Arabidopsis thaliana: one gene and its partners. The protein of the gene in region 4 interacts with the protein of the main gene of each other region in a pairwise test. Each region holds a gene or a part of one and is shown on either strand. Other genes may lie near its edges. The genes, in order: AT1G61730, GATA6, AT4G00390 and MBD4.

Evidence for each region.
Region 1: the proteins of MBD4 (region 4) and AT1G61730 interact in a two-hybrid assay, tested with the Arabidopsis thaliana proteins (one large-scale study listed by BioGRID).
Region 2: the proteins of MBD4 (region 4) and GATA6 interact in a two-hybrid assay, tested with the Arabidopsis thaliana proteins (one large-scale study listed by BioGRID).
Region 3: the proteins of MBD4 (region 4) and AT4G00390 interact in a two-hybrid assay, tested with the Arabidopsis thaliana proteins (one large-scale study listed by BioGRID).

Annotation. Positions count from the first base shown.
Region 1 is NC_003070.9:22,792,670-22,796,750, reverse strand, and holds AT1G61730 (DNA-binding storekeeper protein-related transcriptional regulator), read left to right. Parts: upstream 1-2,036; 5' UTR 2,037-2,173; coding exon 2,174-3,304; 3' UTR 3,305-3,581; downstream 3,582-4,081. Other genes in the region: BAN (NAD(P)-binding Rossmann-fold superfamily protein), read left to right, coding at 3,994-4,081.
Region 2 is NC_003074.8:18,971,384-18,975,657, reverse strand, and holds GATA6 (GATA transcription factor 6), read right to left. Parts: upstream 2,533-4,274; 5' UTR 2,318-2,532; intron 2,026-2,317; 5' UTR 2,020-2,025; coding exon 1,762-2,019; intron 1,671-1,761; coding exon 990-1,670; 3' UTR 766-989; downstream 1-765. Other genes in the region: AT3G51070 (S-adenosyl-L-methionine-dependent methyltransferases superfamily protein), read right to left, coding at 3,367-3,574, 3,657-3,851, 3,934-4,206. UniProt on the Arabidopsis thaliana protein: Transcriptional activator that specifically binds 5'-GATA-3' or 5'-GAT-3' motifs within gene promoters. May be involved in the regulation of some light-responsive genes.
Region 3 is NC_003075.7:170,941-175,063, reverse strand, and holds AT4G00390 (DNA-binding storekeeper protein-related transcriptional regulator), read left to right. Parts: upstream 1-2,218; 5' UTR 2,219-2,319; coding exon 2,320-3,414; 3' UTR 3,415-3,577; downstream 3,578-4,123. Other genes in the region: GPAT8 (glycerol-3-phosphate acyltransferase 8), read left to right, coding at 1-2, 349-752.
Region 4 is NC_003074.8:23,293,454-23,297,238, reverse strand, and holds MBD4 (methyl-CPG-binding domain 4), read right to left. Parts: upstream 1,955-3,785; 5' UTR 1,846-1,954; coding exon 1,798-1,845; intron 1,327-1,797; coding exon 814-1,326; 3' UTR 613-813; downstream 1-612. Other genes in the region: AT3G63040 (uncharacterized protein), read left to right, coding at 30-593; AT3G63020 (hypothetical protein (DUF3049)), read right to left, coding at 2,200-2,814. UniProt on the Arabidopsis thaliana protein: Transcriptional regulator that binds CpG, CpNpN and CpNpG (N is A, T, or C) islands in promoters regardless the DNA methylation status. Plays probably a role in gene silencing.

The DNA of each region.
Region 1 (4,081 bases), on a different chromosome or scaffold from region 4:
TCAAGTTCTTGGCTCCATCAGAAAATAATATGTTTTTGATATATCTCAAGTTAAAAGACTTGTTATTTCATGGTTCTGTTTTCATCAACAATATATGAAAAAAAAAACAATGTCTATGATTCAACACATGTTGCTAGGCATATAACATACTGGAACCACAAGTATATATGCAATTATTTGTTTTTGTGTCTTCCCTCGTGGGACTAAAAGGTGGTTCAAAAGGTTATAACCGAGCATGGAAGAGCTTCGATTATTATGTTCTTGGTTGGTATTGTCATGGTATTGAACAGTGTTGATGACTAGCTATGGATATATGTTTGGAATGATTTGTCTCTGTAGTTACATGACTTTCAAATTACCACAGAAATAAAGTTTTGGTTTCTTTGCTAAATAGTTCAAAATAGATGTGTATAACCATATCATCATATTCTTTTGGTTGTTCCTTCATCCATTTGGTTATTAGTCCATAATGCCATGTCATCATTAAACTTATAACATTATTCTTGAAATTGCTATTGTCACTTTACGCAGGAAATAATCGATCAAATCTTTACTTGTTGTCACATGCACTCAATAATACACGGAATCAGAAACAGAAACAGAGCAAAACAGAGGAAAAAGACGATCTTAAGTAGTTCGAGCTCACATAGTGAATAATACGTCTAAGCTTGATTCTCTACAAAATTCACTCTCATCTTTAATGGTTACATTAAAAATAAGACCCCAACTCTCTCAAAATCCGAGAAAAGATTACAAGAATGATCAACAGCAAAAACGTTAACACCTTGAGCTTGAACCGGCTTTCAACTGACATCAAACCAACAACCATGTTGCTTGATTGTTGAGTAGTTGGTTAAGCCAGAGACTCATGATCACTAAGAAACCTAATCTCTACATGGAACAGAGTTGGCTCTAAGACACACCGCTAGAGCCAACTTCGTTCCATGAATGTCTTAGGTGCCTTAGTTAACCTCTAAGGTAGCCATCGAGTGTCGATTTAGTAGGAAAAAAAAAATCAGGTTAAAGCCATGAACATCAATAGAAGACTTAGAATCTTGGAAAATCGTAGACGATCTTGTCAACGTTTTCACATGATCTTAAGAATTCTATTGAGTTCGTGGCTATAATCCCAACCAAATTTCATCACTGGAAGTAAAAAGTCATAACTCTGCCACAAGGAGATGTTTAGGGTTCCGATGGATTTGTTTAAGAGGTTGTCTCTGTATGTACTTCCTCTAAAGTATTACTCTTAGATCGAAAATACAAGAGGAACCAAAATCAAAAGCAAAAAGAAACGTATAATTAAGAATGGTGGTAAGTAATGTGGGTAGACTTATCATCTTTCGTTCCTTTATATAATGTTTCACCATGCTCATTTAATAATAATCTAACCATATTTTCATCAACAAGGCCCATCATGCCTTGTACCATATTTTCTTCAACGACACATGATGTTATGTTTTCTATTTTGTGAGCTGATTGTATCTGGGTCAAAATGGTCTCTGGGCCTAGTAATGGGCTCTACACAATTGGATTTACACCTCATTTAACAGAAGAACAGAAGTTAAGCATGTACAAGCCTGAAAGCCCATACTTCAGTTTGATACTGAAAAGAGAAATTTAGGCCAAGATTTTAGGAGATTTTAGATTTCAGATTTTGGTTTTTGTAAATAACATGAGATTTTTGGATCTTGTTAAGAAATTAGTAAAAACTCTTAGAATTAGATTCCCTAATTTATATAGGGAATCAACTTTCCTCAAAATCTTGAATGGTTTAAAAAATGGATTTTTGGAAAAAGCTAAAAGCAAAAACCATAGCCTTGGCTTAGGCCTTTTTTTTTTGGTTATACATAAGAAAAATAGAGAAAATATTTACCAAAGCAAATAATAAAAATCCTAAATTACTTTGACCAAAAGAAAGAGATAAAATATTACCAAAGCAAAAGTAATAAAAATACTAAATTACTTTGACCAACAGAAAAAGAGAAAAAAATAATTAATTCCCTATATTAAAAACCCTAAAATATCTATTGGAAGACAGCAACCACTTTAAACTAAAGTTAACACCTTTATATTCCCAAACACTTTTGCCGTCCTCTCCTCACAAACCCTAAAAAGCTTCTCTCTTCTCTTCTGCTTGAAGGATTCCGATTTGCCTCCTTGAAAATTTCCAATGACGAAGAAACTCAATCCACTGGAAGATCCACCAACGGCAACTTCAAGCGACGAAGATGACGTCGAGACTTCCGAAGCTGGTGAAGCTTCAGACGATTCCTCTTCATCTGAAGAAGACGTACCAATCAAAATTCGAATCAAATCCCCTTCCGCCACAACCGCCGCCGCTCCTCCAGCTAAATCCACCGCCGTCTCCACCGCCGCTGATTCAGATTCTGGATCCGAGACTGAAACAGATTCGGATTCTGAATCAACAAATCCACCGAATTCTGGATCTGGGAAGACAATCGCTTTAAACACAGTGAATCTAAAGAAGAAAGAGGATCCAACGTCGTCGTCAGCTACTTTAGCTTTACCGGCGATGAAATCAGGAACAAAACGGCCAGCGAGTGAAGCTGCTGCTACGACTTCAACGAAACGAGTGAAGAAAGATGAAGAGAGTGTGAAGAAACCAGGAGGTTTTCAAAGACTATGGAGTGAAGAAGACGAAATCTTAGTGTTACAAGGAATGATTGATTTCAAAGCTGATACAGGGAAGTCTCCTTATGTAGATACTAATGCGTTTTACGATTTCTTGAAGAAATCGATTAGCTTTGAGGTTAGTAAGAATCAATTCATGGATAAGATTAGGAGTTTAAGGAAGAAGTATATTGGTAAAGAAGGAAGGAACGAACCTAGTTTTGTGAAAGCTCATGATAAGAAAGCTTTTGAATTGTCTAAGTTTATTTGGGGACCTAAAGGAATAGCTCTTGATTCTAATGTTAAGTCGAACGGTGTATCGAAAAAGAGTGTGGCGAAGAAGAAGATTGATTCTGTTAAGCAAGAGTTGGTGTTTGCCGGTGGTTCTTCAACTAATGGTAAAAAAGTTGAAGAAGATGGTGGTGATGATGGATGTGATTGGTTTGATAACTCGTCTCTTGTTAGGATGATTGCTAGTTTGGGTGTTGATGAGTATTATGTGAAGCAGCAATGGAGTTTGGTTTCGGTTGAGAGTAAGAAGATTGTTGAAGAGAAGTATAAGTTGTTGCAAGCTAAGGAGTTGGAATTTGTGTTGGAGAAGACTAAGTTTTTGAATGAGGTTGCTTCTATGTTCGTTGAAGCTTCTAAGAACAAGCCATTAGATACATAGATTTATCGGTTTTTTAAAATCGGAATGCTATTGCCAATGCCTTCTTTTGTTTTCGATTTAGGATTTACCCTCTCTTTTTTTTGTCTTCTTCACTTTTTATCTTTCAATGTAACTTTCTGGTTATTTTATCTTTGTTAAACTCTGTTATGGATTTGTAGCTTAAATATGATAAAATTGCTTAAGGCCAGATTCTGTGAAACATGGACAAGAACAGAGCAAGTTATGTTGAATTGACTCGTGTAATTCGTGAAACAGAACATAGCAAGTCCAAGTTGTGTTAAAAACTGCAGAGAATTTGACAGATTGGTGGAAGTAAAAAGCATTCTTTTGCAACTCATTTTAAGATCGGCAAAGAAAAAATTGAAGTAACAGAACCTTACTGTAACACTATTCGTTACTCTAAAGCTGTGTTATATTGTTTAGAGACAGAAATAATCAAACTCTTGTGATAATTTGGTAGATGATAACAAATCAGAACTCTGAAGGTCAATCTTTTTTGATTCTTAGGTGAAGACAAGTTGGTTATTTCAAAGATCACGTGCTTACCTTCTAAAACAGCCTTATTGATCTACTGTTGTACCTAATGAGCAAGGACTATTTGCAAATCTTTTTACTTCTTATATAGAAGTCTCAAGACGATAAACTCATAACAACTAAATCTCTATCTCTGTAATTTCAAAAGTACAATCATGGACCAGACTCTTACACACACCGGATCGAAGAAGGCTTGTGTCATTGGTGGCACGGGAAACTTAGCCTCTATTCTCATCAAGCATT
Region 2 (4,274 bases), 4.3 Mb from region 4:
TTTATGCTTCTTGTGTAATTTTCCCTTAAATATAGCCAAAAGAAAAACATATGATTTGTTATTAAAAAATTAGCAAATTAAAAAAGAGTATGATCTCACTTTTGAAATCAGGAGACGTTTTCATCGTTGTGAAGGAGAAAGCTAAGCGTGTGAGACGAATGTTAAAACTAGTATATATATATTCGAATTGTTTAGTTAGTTACATATTATGCAGCATTTACGAAACACGTACTAAAAGCTATTATTAATAGTCAACTCAACTAAAACCATACGAGGAATAAAGTCCCAAGGTAAATTGGTAATTCGTGATAATCTCAAAGATATGGTCAACGAATATTATCACATTGCAAAAATGGATAATATTATCACGTCAACTAAGGTCGTATTCAATCTCCAAAAATACGCAGAGTAATAAATTAGTCAATAAGAGAGTGTGCCCAGTACGTTTATTTTTCTTTTTTCAGTTATTGTATATATTTTTATTTGTGAAATTTGTTTTTTTTTTCAGTTATATTATGTCAATTTTAGAAATACAAGAGAAAATGTGATGGATATAAATAAGTAACAACAAAAAATTGGAGTTACTAACCCTGAAATAAAGCCTACTCCTAATTTGGTATAAATTGATCTCATATTTTATACACTTGATAACTATCAGTCTACCAATAATTATTGAGCATACATTCTAACTAGAAAATGAACCATCTCTATCAATTAATATAAAAACTATATATTATAACGTAAATATAACGTTAGAGGAGGTTAAGAAAAAAAGAATTCTGAAAATTAATGCGAAACAAAACAAATATAATAGTAAGAGTTTTAAAAGTTTTAACCAGTTACTAAATCTAAAAACCTACTACGACTAACAAACAAAAAATCAAATTTGTAATTTAAAACATACATAACCCGTTAACATACTAACTGGTGATAAATCTGAACCGGGTCGGATCCTAATTCTGCTCCTTTAAAAACCTTCCACAATTTCTTCAAAAACTCGAGACAACCTGAACCGTCTGAACCGGCTGGTTCAAACCGGTTTCTTCAGCACCGTCAGAAGTCTCTTTCTTCCTACGCATCTCAATGACTTTACTGTGGTGGTTTGAGTGAAGCTCACTCGAAAATGTTGGGCTACAAGCGGGTCTATATTCGGGTAGTAACCGACCCGATTTGTAACGCACACCACACGCATTACACAACGTCTTCGCTCCTAATGGTCCTGCTCTCCACTGCGGCGTTTTCTGAACTCCACAATGACCACACTGCCGCGTCTGCGTCTGCGTTTGCGTTTGCGTCTGACCAGCGTTTTTCCAAACTTTCTTCTTCTTTTGTGTTTTAGTCATTGGCTCATCAAGAAACTGACCGCTGGCGAGCCATAGAGGGCTTGAAGGACGAGGAGAGGACGACGAAGATGTTGTAGAGCTTGAAGATGAGTCGGTTAACGACTGCGAACCATGAGACCAGACTCTGACTCCGGTTCTGGCTCGTTTGGGTCTGGTTTTGACGGCCGGATGTTGGGATTTGAAGCAGGTCTCCTCTTTAACCGGTTGTACAAGATGTCTCCGATTTCCGGTTAACCAAACCGGTTTATTCGTCGGAGCAGAATACGGCGTGAAAGAAGAATCATCTACGAAATTTGATAACCATTCAAGTTCCGCTATATCATCCATCTAACAATCAAAACATGAAAAGCAAGAAATTAACAATGCAATGACTGATAATTTTTATAAATTTTGCGAAAATGAAAACACAAATTCATACCGGAACGGAAAGCCCGCTAGTGTGGAAATCAGCGGTGGAGAAATCGTTGCTCCGGTGAAGGGTATTTTCGTCAGAGACTCCTCTTTTTCGTTGTACTTTCAATTCAGCCTCATCCTCAACCAAAACGTCGTCGTCTTCTTCTTCTTTTGAGAAGTCAAGCAAGTCGTCGACGGAGAAATCATCGCCATTTTGAGCGCCGCCGGTTAGGGTTTTGTCTTTCATGTTACTGTTCTTCAACGTCAATTCAACACTCTCCATTATTTCCTATCAAACCCCACCAACACAAATTAGGTTTTCTTCTTTTCTTTTGGCTTCCTCAGAATTATCAAAAACTCTCCAAAAATTATCTTTAAAAAAAAAACTCCCCCCGAAAAAAAAAACGTTCCTTTATTTTTCCAAATTCAAACAGAAAAACCCAAAAGAAAAATCACGAAAACCCAGAACCACAACTTGGTGAAACGAACCATGATTTGACTAAGCCACAGATAAAAATTCAATCTTTTTCAAACAATGTGACGAGTAAGTAACCTTCAAAAAAAACTAAAATTGGAATTACCTGAGATGAGAAGAGACAGAGAGTGAAGAGAGGAGATATGTCGGTGAATGAGAAGAAGAAGAAGAGTGGTGAGAATTTAGAAGAAGAGGTGAGTTTGGTAAAGCATTGAATATGATAGTGACTCCAGACCAAAGCCCTCTTCTCCTAAAACTAAAAAAGTTGTGAGTTTCTCTTCTTTATTCTTTCTCAATCTCTTATTTTCCCAAGAACCAAAAAAAAAAGATAAAAATTGAAATATTTTGCTTTGGTGGGAACTATTTTTTTTTACCTTTTTACTCAACCGGCAAAAATTCATAAAAATGTCTACTTTTTGTAAATTCAAAGCGTACATACGCGCTACTGTGAAACGAGAGATGACTGAAAAAAGAACGGTCTCGTTTTCGTTACCCAATCACATACATATTTGGGCTGTATTGGGCTATGTTGGGCTGGGCTTTCTGAAATTTTACGATTTGGGTATCTCATTAACAATGGCTTTTCTCCTCCCGTCTTCTTCAATTCAAAACTGTTTGTGATGATTACTCAGCGATATGCGATTAAAAGCTTCAAATTTGCAGAAACCCATCTTCTTCAGCTCCTACTCTGCCCATGATGTCAGATTCTCTTCTTTCTTAACCTCTCTTTTGAATTCATATGTGGGCTTAAGATTGTTGGTTTCATTTCATGTCTACTTTATTCCTTTTGTAATTTGACTTTTCGCTACCTGTCAATAGCTTATGGTGAATTTGGCTTGTGGTATCGCTAAAGCATCATAATCTCTTCTTCATTACTGCTATGTTTCTACTTGTTGGAACAAAATTTCATTTATTGGTGTGCCTTACTTTTCCCAGTGAAATGATTCATAGCCTTACAAGAGAATATCATAACCATGTTAAAAAAAGCAATATGAAGTAAGGAAAACAAAAATGTTCTAATTAGTCTATATAGTTTAAGAAGACTAAAGCTATTTCTTATACTGACAAATTCTTTTGGGGATTATAGATATGAGTAGTGTGTTGTATTATAATGATGCTTCTGCTACTTTCAAATGCAGATTCTCAGAGCGTCTTTCATTGAGAAGTTTCTGGTCTCCAGAATCCTTTTTGTGCACTTAAGATTCCTTCTTGGTGTTTGGAGAAAGTTAAGTGAACATCCCAGTGCAGTGACTTCAACATGTTCTCAACTTCTCTTATCACATTTGATTCGTCACGAACTATTAGTTTACCTCCTGGTCTTACTATTCTATCCACTTCTGCCATTACTGGAACAAGATTGCACCTTTCAAAACAAAACAAAACAAGAGACTTATTGTTGATGAAACGTTACCAAAAGGTGTGGATATTATGAGTTACGCTTATACCTTGTTCTCAACTTTGAGAAAAGATGATCTGCATGTAAGAGATCATAGCTTCGAGGGTATGTGCTAAATGATTCACACCAGTCATGATATATTCCGAATAGGCCTCTCTCGTAGATTATCGGTAGTGTATCTGGTGAATTTATGTTTACTACATTCATTACCCACACCTGTAGGTCCTTCAGAGCTGCTGCAAACCTGCATTTTTACGTAGTTAGTAAAAAAAGGTTTAGTTTTGGTAAGTGAGATTTTAGTTTGATTTGTTTTCGTTGATGCTCACCCTCCGTAGACAGCTCGCATGTCCATTACATTCCTCACATTTGACCAGCTGATTCCTATTTCATTCATGTATACTTTGCTTACAACATGTTTCCAGTGTTCATAATCTGTAGTGAAATCTCGAGGAGCTGGTTTCCCATATATCCCCATTTGAGAGCTGTTTAACCAGTAAGGCGGTGTTTGAAGCCGACGGGGCCAATTCACGGGCCACTTGCTTCCTCTCTCGACCACATTGGTAGGAACTTTATGCATACATGCTTGTAGGGGTACATACCTGAAATTTCCATTCAAGTTTTGACTTTCTTTGTTCTGTTAAAACCTTATGGTTATTCATTCCCTATG
Region 3 (4,123 bases), on a different chromosome or scaffold from region 4:
AGGTACTTTACACATCTTCTCATCATATATTACTAGAGCATACCTATAACAAGTTTCACTGTCCAGGGGGTTCAATAGGAGTTTCTATTTCTTTCTTTTTATTTTTCGATGAATACATATATAGTAGCCCATGCAAATCTCAATATAGTAAATATTACTTTGGTATGGTCTTTGATGTTTACTTTGGTACCTAATTAACGCATCTTCTAACCAAATTTATATAAATGAACATAAAATAATATTGTTTACTTCTTTTGAATATTGACTTACATTCACATTAATCTTTAGTTGAGAAATTAAAAATCAATGGAGTTGTTGAGCTAATGATATGTTTTTGGTGTATAACAGGCGACTTGGTGATATGTCCGGAAGGCACGACGTGTAGAGAAGAGTATCTACTGAGATTTAGCGCTCTATTCGCAGAGCTAAGCGACCGGATTGTGCCAGTAGCGATGAACTGTAAACAAGGAATGTTCAACGGGACCACAGTTAGGGGTGTGAAGTTTTGGGACCCTTACTTCTTCTTCATGAACCCAAGACCAAGCTATGAAGCCACTTTCTTGGATCGTTTGCCTGAAGAAATGACTGTCAACGGTGGTGGCAAGACTCCTATAGAGGTGGCTAATTACGTCCAGAAAGTTATCGGCGCGGTTTTGGGCTTCGAATGCACCGAACTTACTCGCAAGGATAAATATCTTTTGCTTGGAGGTAATGACGGCAAGGTGGAGTCTATCAACAACACCAAGAAGTGAATATCTTATTCTTGTTATAACTTGGCATTGACTTATTGCAAGTAAGGTTGGATCATATACGAATTTTCATGTGTGTAATTGCTTGAGCTCTTGTCATCATTATGGTACGTTATTGTTATGTTTATTCTATTTTGTTCTTAATGTCGAACGGGTAACTATATCCTTAAAAACTATTTTGTGATCCCGTTTCTATACGGATGTGTATAGAGACTTTCTATTTAAAGTGCAAAATTTTATTGGAGGAAGTAAATTTTGGATCATGCAAATGTAAATACATACGACGTATATATGTTTGAATAAAACTATGTTTCGGTGGAATTGTGAATGATTAATTATGGTTTTTTTTTGTTGCAAAAGTAGCAATTTTTTGAAAAAAATAATTAAATTTTTAACAAACTAAATAAGATCATTGTTAACTATACGCTTTTATAAAAAATCTCTTGACAAAAAAACAAAAAAACTTTTTATTACACTGTCATAATTTCTTTTATTTTTAGAGAAATTAGATTCGTTTTACCGAATTGAAAAATGGTGATATCAATATGAGAGTGTAGCAGACGAGAGATCATGAATTTTGAGTTCCAACGTAGAAATGTCTACATTATCATCATGAGAGTGTTGGCGGACAAGAGATCATGAATTTTGAGTTCCAATGTAAAAATGTCTACATTATCATCATTTAAGTAACAGACGAAAACTTGGGATTTGATGTATTATATTATTGGTGCCAATTCATTAAAAAGAAACTCATATTCCTGTATTTTTTGGGATGATTTTATAAACATTGGCAGTAAGAAATGAATATATTTCTGTATATAGATATTTCTGTATATATACAATTAACAGAAAAATGAAATGAAAGCAAAAAAATCATTACAGTGCGAAAATATGTGAAGCAAAAATGTGAAATTATACTTATTATGATTTGTCATTAATGTCATGATCTAAACCTAAATTATTCTTTCATTACAATTTCTATATTAGTTTTTAGTGGGCTTTAATTATACATAATATTAAACTCCTTCACCAAATATTTGTTAATGAGAATGAGATCCATGAGAATGAGATCTTATTATGATTTGTATGAGAATGAGATCCATGGGAACATTAGGCAAATCAAAGATTTGTATATAATAAGCAAAAATGTGAAATTGTACTTATTATGATTAGTCATTAATGTCATGACCTAAACCTAAATTACTCTTTCATTACAATTTCTAACATTAGACAAATCAAAAATTTTTATATAATAAGATTATAAAACTTAACAAATAATATTCTTTGAGATTTAGAATCTTAATTTAATGACAATATTAATTGTTTAACTCATAGAACAATGGAATTTTAACGGGAACTGCTACATTGGAAATATGAAACGATTTGAATAAGGAAAGCAAATTTCGCAATTATTGTTTGAGAATATCGAAATTGATTATAAATATTCCTTTTCACTTATCATCGTTTCGTCACAAACCCTAAGAAGCTTCTCATCTTCCTCACAAACCCTAAGAAGCTTCTCATCTTCTCTTTCTCTCGAAAATTCCGATTTGCTCTTTTGAAACTTCCGATGACGAAGAAACTCGATCCACCAACGGCACCTTCAAGCGACGAAGATGACGTCGAGACTTCCGAAGATGATTCCTCTTCATCTGAAGAAGACGAACCAATCAAATCCCTTCCCGCCACAACCGCCGCTGCTCCTGCTAAATCCACCGCCGTCTCCGCCGCTACTCCAGCTAAATCCACCTCCGTCTCCGCCGCTGCTCCTTCTAAATCCACCGCCGTCTCCGCCGCTGCTGATTCCGATTCTGGTTCGGAGAGTGAAACAGATTCGGATTCTGAATCGACGGATCCTCCGAAATCTGGATCCGGTAAAACAATCGCTTCAAAGAAGAAAGATGATCCGTCGTCGTCGACTGCTACTTTAGCTTTACCGGCGGTGAAATCTGGAGCAAAGAGGGCAGCGAGTGAAGCTGCGACGACTTCAACGAAACGAGTCAAGAAAGATGAAGAGAGTGTAAAGAAGCCAGCACTTTTTCAAAGACTATGGAGTGACGATGACGAAATCTCTATGTTACAAGGAATGATAGATTATCATGCTGATACAGGGAAGTCTCCTTCCGCAGATACTAATGCGTTTTACGAGTTCCAGAAGAAATCTATCAGCTTTGAGGTTAGTAAGAGTCAATTCTCGGATAAGGTTAGGAGTTTAAGGAAGAAGTACCGTGCTAAAGAAGGAAAGGACGAACCTAGGTTTGTGAAAGCTCATGATAAGAAAGCTTTTGAATTGTCAAAGTTTATTTGGGGACCTAAAGGAATAGCTCTTGATTCTAATGCTAAGTCCAACGGTGTGTCGAAAAAGAGTGCGAGTAAGACGAAGGAGAAGCTTGATTCTGTAAAGCAAGACTTGGCGTTTGTTGGTGTTTCTTCAACTAATGGAGATGATTGGTTTGAGAAGTCGTCTCTTGCTAGGATGATTGCTGGTTCGGGTATTGATGAGTATTATGTGAGGCAGAAATGGAGTTCGTTTACTCTTGAGACTAAGAAGATTGTTGAAGAGAAGTTTCAGTTGATGCAAGCTAAAGAGCTTGAGGCTATGTTGGATAAGAGTGTGCGTTTGACTGACCTTACGTCTTACTTCGTTGATGCTTCGAAGAACTAGAGCTACTAGTTACTTAGATTTGTCGGTTTTTTGTATCGTAATGCTATGCATAATGCTTTCTTTTGTTTTTCGGATTTAGGATTTGATTCTTTCTGGTTTGTTTTTTTGGGGTTGAAAGATTCTCTACGTTATAATATTTATTTTTTTATTCGTCAACTTGTCCTTATTATACCTCATCTTTGTCTTTTAGAAGTTCTTGTACCAACTCCAAGAACGAATCTATGTTCCTGACAAAACCGCCTTGTACCATTGTTAGGTAAAGCTTCCCAACCATAAGCATCTGCACTTTGTAACTTGATTGTGTTCTGTGAGAGTTGGAGTTTGAAAATGATGAGTAAACTGTTACATTGAGAAAACAACTCTTACCAAATGAAGATTTTCTCTTCATAAGTTATTTCCAAAATCAGACATTTAGCAAGTTATACCTACTTTGCATCCAAGTCTGTTGGTCACAAAACAAGACCATAGCAATGCAAATATAGCTTGGTTACAAAAAATTTAGTCACATTGCTTCAGGATGATTTAACTATATAAACAACACAGTTTTTGTGTCTGGTATAGAAGATAACACTGTTTTGTTCAAAGCTTTTGACTTATGAACTACAAAAACTAAAGCTTTGTTACTACTATTAAGATACTGCCTAACTCGTCCAAAATAAGCCAAGAAGAAACCTTAATAAAAAGATTATTGACTATGTTACATGCCAAA
Region 4 (3,785 bases):
ATCATCATAACCTATTACATCTATAAAACATGACTAGAGGCATGATACCAACAAAAGCAAAGGTAGTAGTCATCTCACTGATTTGGGCTATTCTGGTGTTGGAAAGTGCAACAGTGTCAAGTGCAGTAGAAGATTTGGTGGTGGAACAGTGCAAGCACAACTGTAAACATGATATCCACAACAAGAAGAAAGAGTGTGAAGATAAGTGCAATGAACTGTTGATGATGGAGATAGAGAAAGAGACAAGTGGACGACAAGAAGAAGAACACAATCCCTTCTGTGAGGCATTTTGCAACCCCTTTGAAGGACTCTTTCAACATTGCATGGCCGTTTGCCCTCGCACCAAGTCCAAACCAGAGATGATGGTCATAGGAGGAGAAGGTGTTGCTAATGAGGGTTTGCAGACAAAATGCAACAGAAAATGCCTGTCTTACACCGAACCGGAGGCCTATAAAAAATGCATATCCGGATGCTTCATGTCCAACGAGGAAGTCTGTGAGACATCGTGCAGTATTCTTCAAGAGGAACCGCTCACTATAAGGTGCATGAGGATTTGCCATGAGAGAATTCCCGGAGTTGTAGCCTCTACTTAATGTTTTACGAGGGGACTTGTAAGGAATAAGTGTGTTTCTTTGGTGTAAGAATCCAAATTAAAAGAATATTTAACATTTGAGTTCCGGTTAAAGAAGAGACAAAAGATCATATTTTTTTGCTTAGAGATGTTAATATCATAACAGTTTTAGAGAACATCAAATCTATAAAGACTCAAAACGCATTGCTTTAGGGAGCAGAAAGAAGGTAGAAGAGAACATATTAGTTATGGCTCTGCTTGACACTGCTCTTCTCTGAAGTAGTGGTAGTAGTGCTTGGAAAAGGAGAGCCAAGCTTCGGATCAGGGGGAACAGTATCTTCCATGACCTTGGGGACAGTGAAATTGAAGTCTCCAAGTGGTGCGTTCCTGAATTCCGGATTGGCTTCAACGAAGGCAGCGATTTCATTGCGACTCCTGAGCTTCTTCCCGGTAGGAGTAAAGTAGTAGGTATCCATCTTAGAGTAATCTTTTCTGAGAACTAAGCTTCTCTTGAAACCTTTAGGCGTTTTGGGGAGACCAGGCTTGTCAATGACCCAAGTCCGAGAAGAATCGTAGTCAATATCAGCAGGCTCTTCACAAGACATGCCCTGTTTCTTCTGACAGTTAAAAGGATCCTCGAGCATTTTACTTCTGATATCTTCATATTCCTCCTGGCTATCAATCACCCTCCACTTGTGACAGTTATCGCACTGTGCAGCATAGGTATCAATCAACCTCCCAGGAGCAACATCTTTCTGCCATTAAGTCTCAGTGAAACAACCCCACACAAGACTTGTGAGCGTAGAAGAAATATATAATGTAAGGCAAGAATAAGGAGCGACACTACTCCAGCAAGCGTTAAAGAAAAGAACCAAGGCTTTCTTAGAGCAATAACTGAAAGCAACGACACATCACGAGACTGACTCAAAGTTTGCAAGACCAAAGATTTCAAAGTTAACTACCAACAATTTACTTCCAAGCACCAAAAAATCGTGAACCCCAAAACTGATAACCTAGAATTCTATGCCTTGTATAACTTCCTCCATCAATAGTAACTACTAATACGGGATCTGAGATCTCCAAAGACAGTAAGAACACGAAAAACGCATGCACTTTGACCGGAATTATAAGAAGGTTCGCATCTAACACAATAAAGAGAAGAAAAACGCAAAGAACGGAACCTAGAAAATGGAAAGCGAAATATATGTAAGTCATTGTGGGACTACCTTGGCTTTTGGTTTCGCTGGTTTTCCGATCTCCTCCTCTTCCTTCATCTCACTTACTTCCCCAGATTCTTTTTTAGTAAACTTTTTCTCCAAATCTTTGTGTCCCCCAAAAGTAAAACTCTCTCAAATAAGTCTTCCTGCGAACAGTGTGATAACCGCACAGCCTGTGCTTTAATGTATCACTGTGACGGACAAATCATAAATTAACACGTCGGCTTGAGCGAATTATTTGGGCTTCAGGCCCAGGTTTGTTTTGCAACAAAATATTATTATGGGCCTAATATTCATAAGTAAAGCCCATAATTCCCTTTTCTTATCTTGTTTCTAACGGATCATCGGACTACAATGTCGTTTTTTCCCCCCGGAAAATTAGCTGAAAATATCAAAATTCTAAGAGGAAGATCAGTGATTCTGTTTATCTTCATTATCATCTTCTACTACGTCGTTTTGTTGACTGATTCTCACTGTTCCGATTCTTAGTCCTTCTCTCCCACGAACACTAACGATCTCCGGTGAATCTACTGCCACGCTGGCAATCTCTAACCGTCCTTCGCTTCTCACTCTCCTGTGATGAAATCTCGGCCGTCCGTTACAATCCAGTGTCGTCAAAAATGGTGGCAGATCTCGCTTCCTCGTCACGCTTCTTCCTCTCCGCGGCGACGGCGCCTTTGATCTCGACTCCGTCAGCAGCGGCGGTCCATACGGTCCCCACGGCGATATCTTCCCTCCTAGATAGAAACTGTAACTGTTATTTTTCGAAGAACACGAGAAATATTCGTCAAGAATAACTCCACACACACCTCTATGTTCCCTGCACTCGTCGTCGGGATTCTCGTGGTCTGATTTTATCTCTAGAGATCTGCTCACGGATAAGCTTTGAAGAGGTTCGCCGCCGGAATCAACAGGAGTGCTCCAGCGCCGTCGATGGGAATGCGTAGGCGTGTCTTCCTCTGCCATTGACGACGTGCGGTGTTCTTCATCTATATCTCCGGTGAGAATCGTAGAGGATGACGTCATGATTAACATAACCGCTCGTCCTTCCCTGTTCTCTACTCTCTACGATCGCAACTCTGCATCATTTTTTGGGCCTTAAACGAGATTTAATGATTTATAGTATTTGGTGGGGCCTCTGCGAGAGGTTTTGCCAGCGTGGCAAACAGATCAGGATTTACTCATTTAACGGGCTTTTGTAAACCATGACACCTTGTAAGTAAATTGGTCCGCATGGTCAAATTAAACCTTGTCTTGGAAAAATCTTTTCACCTGTAAAATATTAATCTCACCGTCCTTTTTCTGGTGGCAGTAATTGTGAACAAAATCTTAAATCATATTAACTTTAATTTTTGGGAAATACGCATGCAGCACATCGAATGATTTTTAAAAATATTACATGAATTTTTCTACGAAAATTTTGAAACTAGTTTCTAAACATTACTACAGTATTAACTAATGGCTGCAATTGAGAGGGTGAAAACATTGAATTGGGTCATTCCCCATCAGTTTTAAAAAACTATAAAGTTAATTGGGTCGTAATTGCATAAAACGTTATTTCTTTCCCGGAAATAATACTCAGTTCATTAATTTGATGGGCTTATAGAACGATATTCTAAAGCCCATTATACGGGCCACAAGAATCTTTTGAGACACTCGACAAATGGCAATCGCTAAAAGCAAACCCAAAATGTTTTAACGATATGTGATAACTCCTGAGCCATGCATGCTAATTTTGCTATGTCATTTTGTAAGAAAACACGTTACTACAAGTTGTCTTTGTTTAGACCGTTAAACGGCATGCAGTCTATTATTCTGGACTAACTCCATGTGAATGAAAACATACATATGATGACGAGTTGATGATGAATGCGAAAGTGATAAGAGAGCGATGATGTTTAATGGTCTTTAGGGTTTGAGATATTCGAGATGAATAAGGTTCGTGTCTGAATCTCTAGGGGTTTAGGTTAATAGGCTAATAAAGACAAAAGCATCGT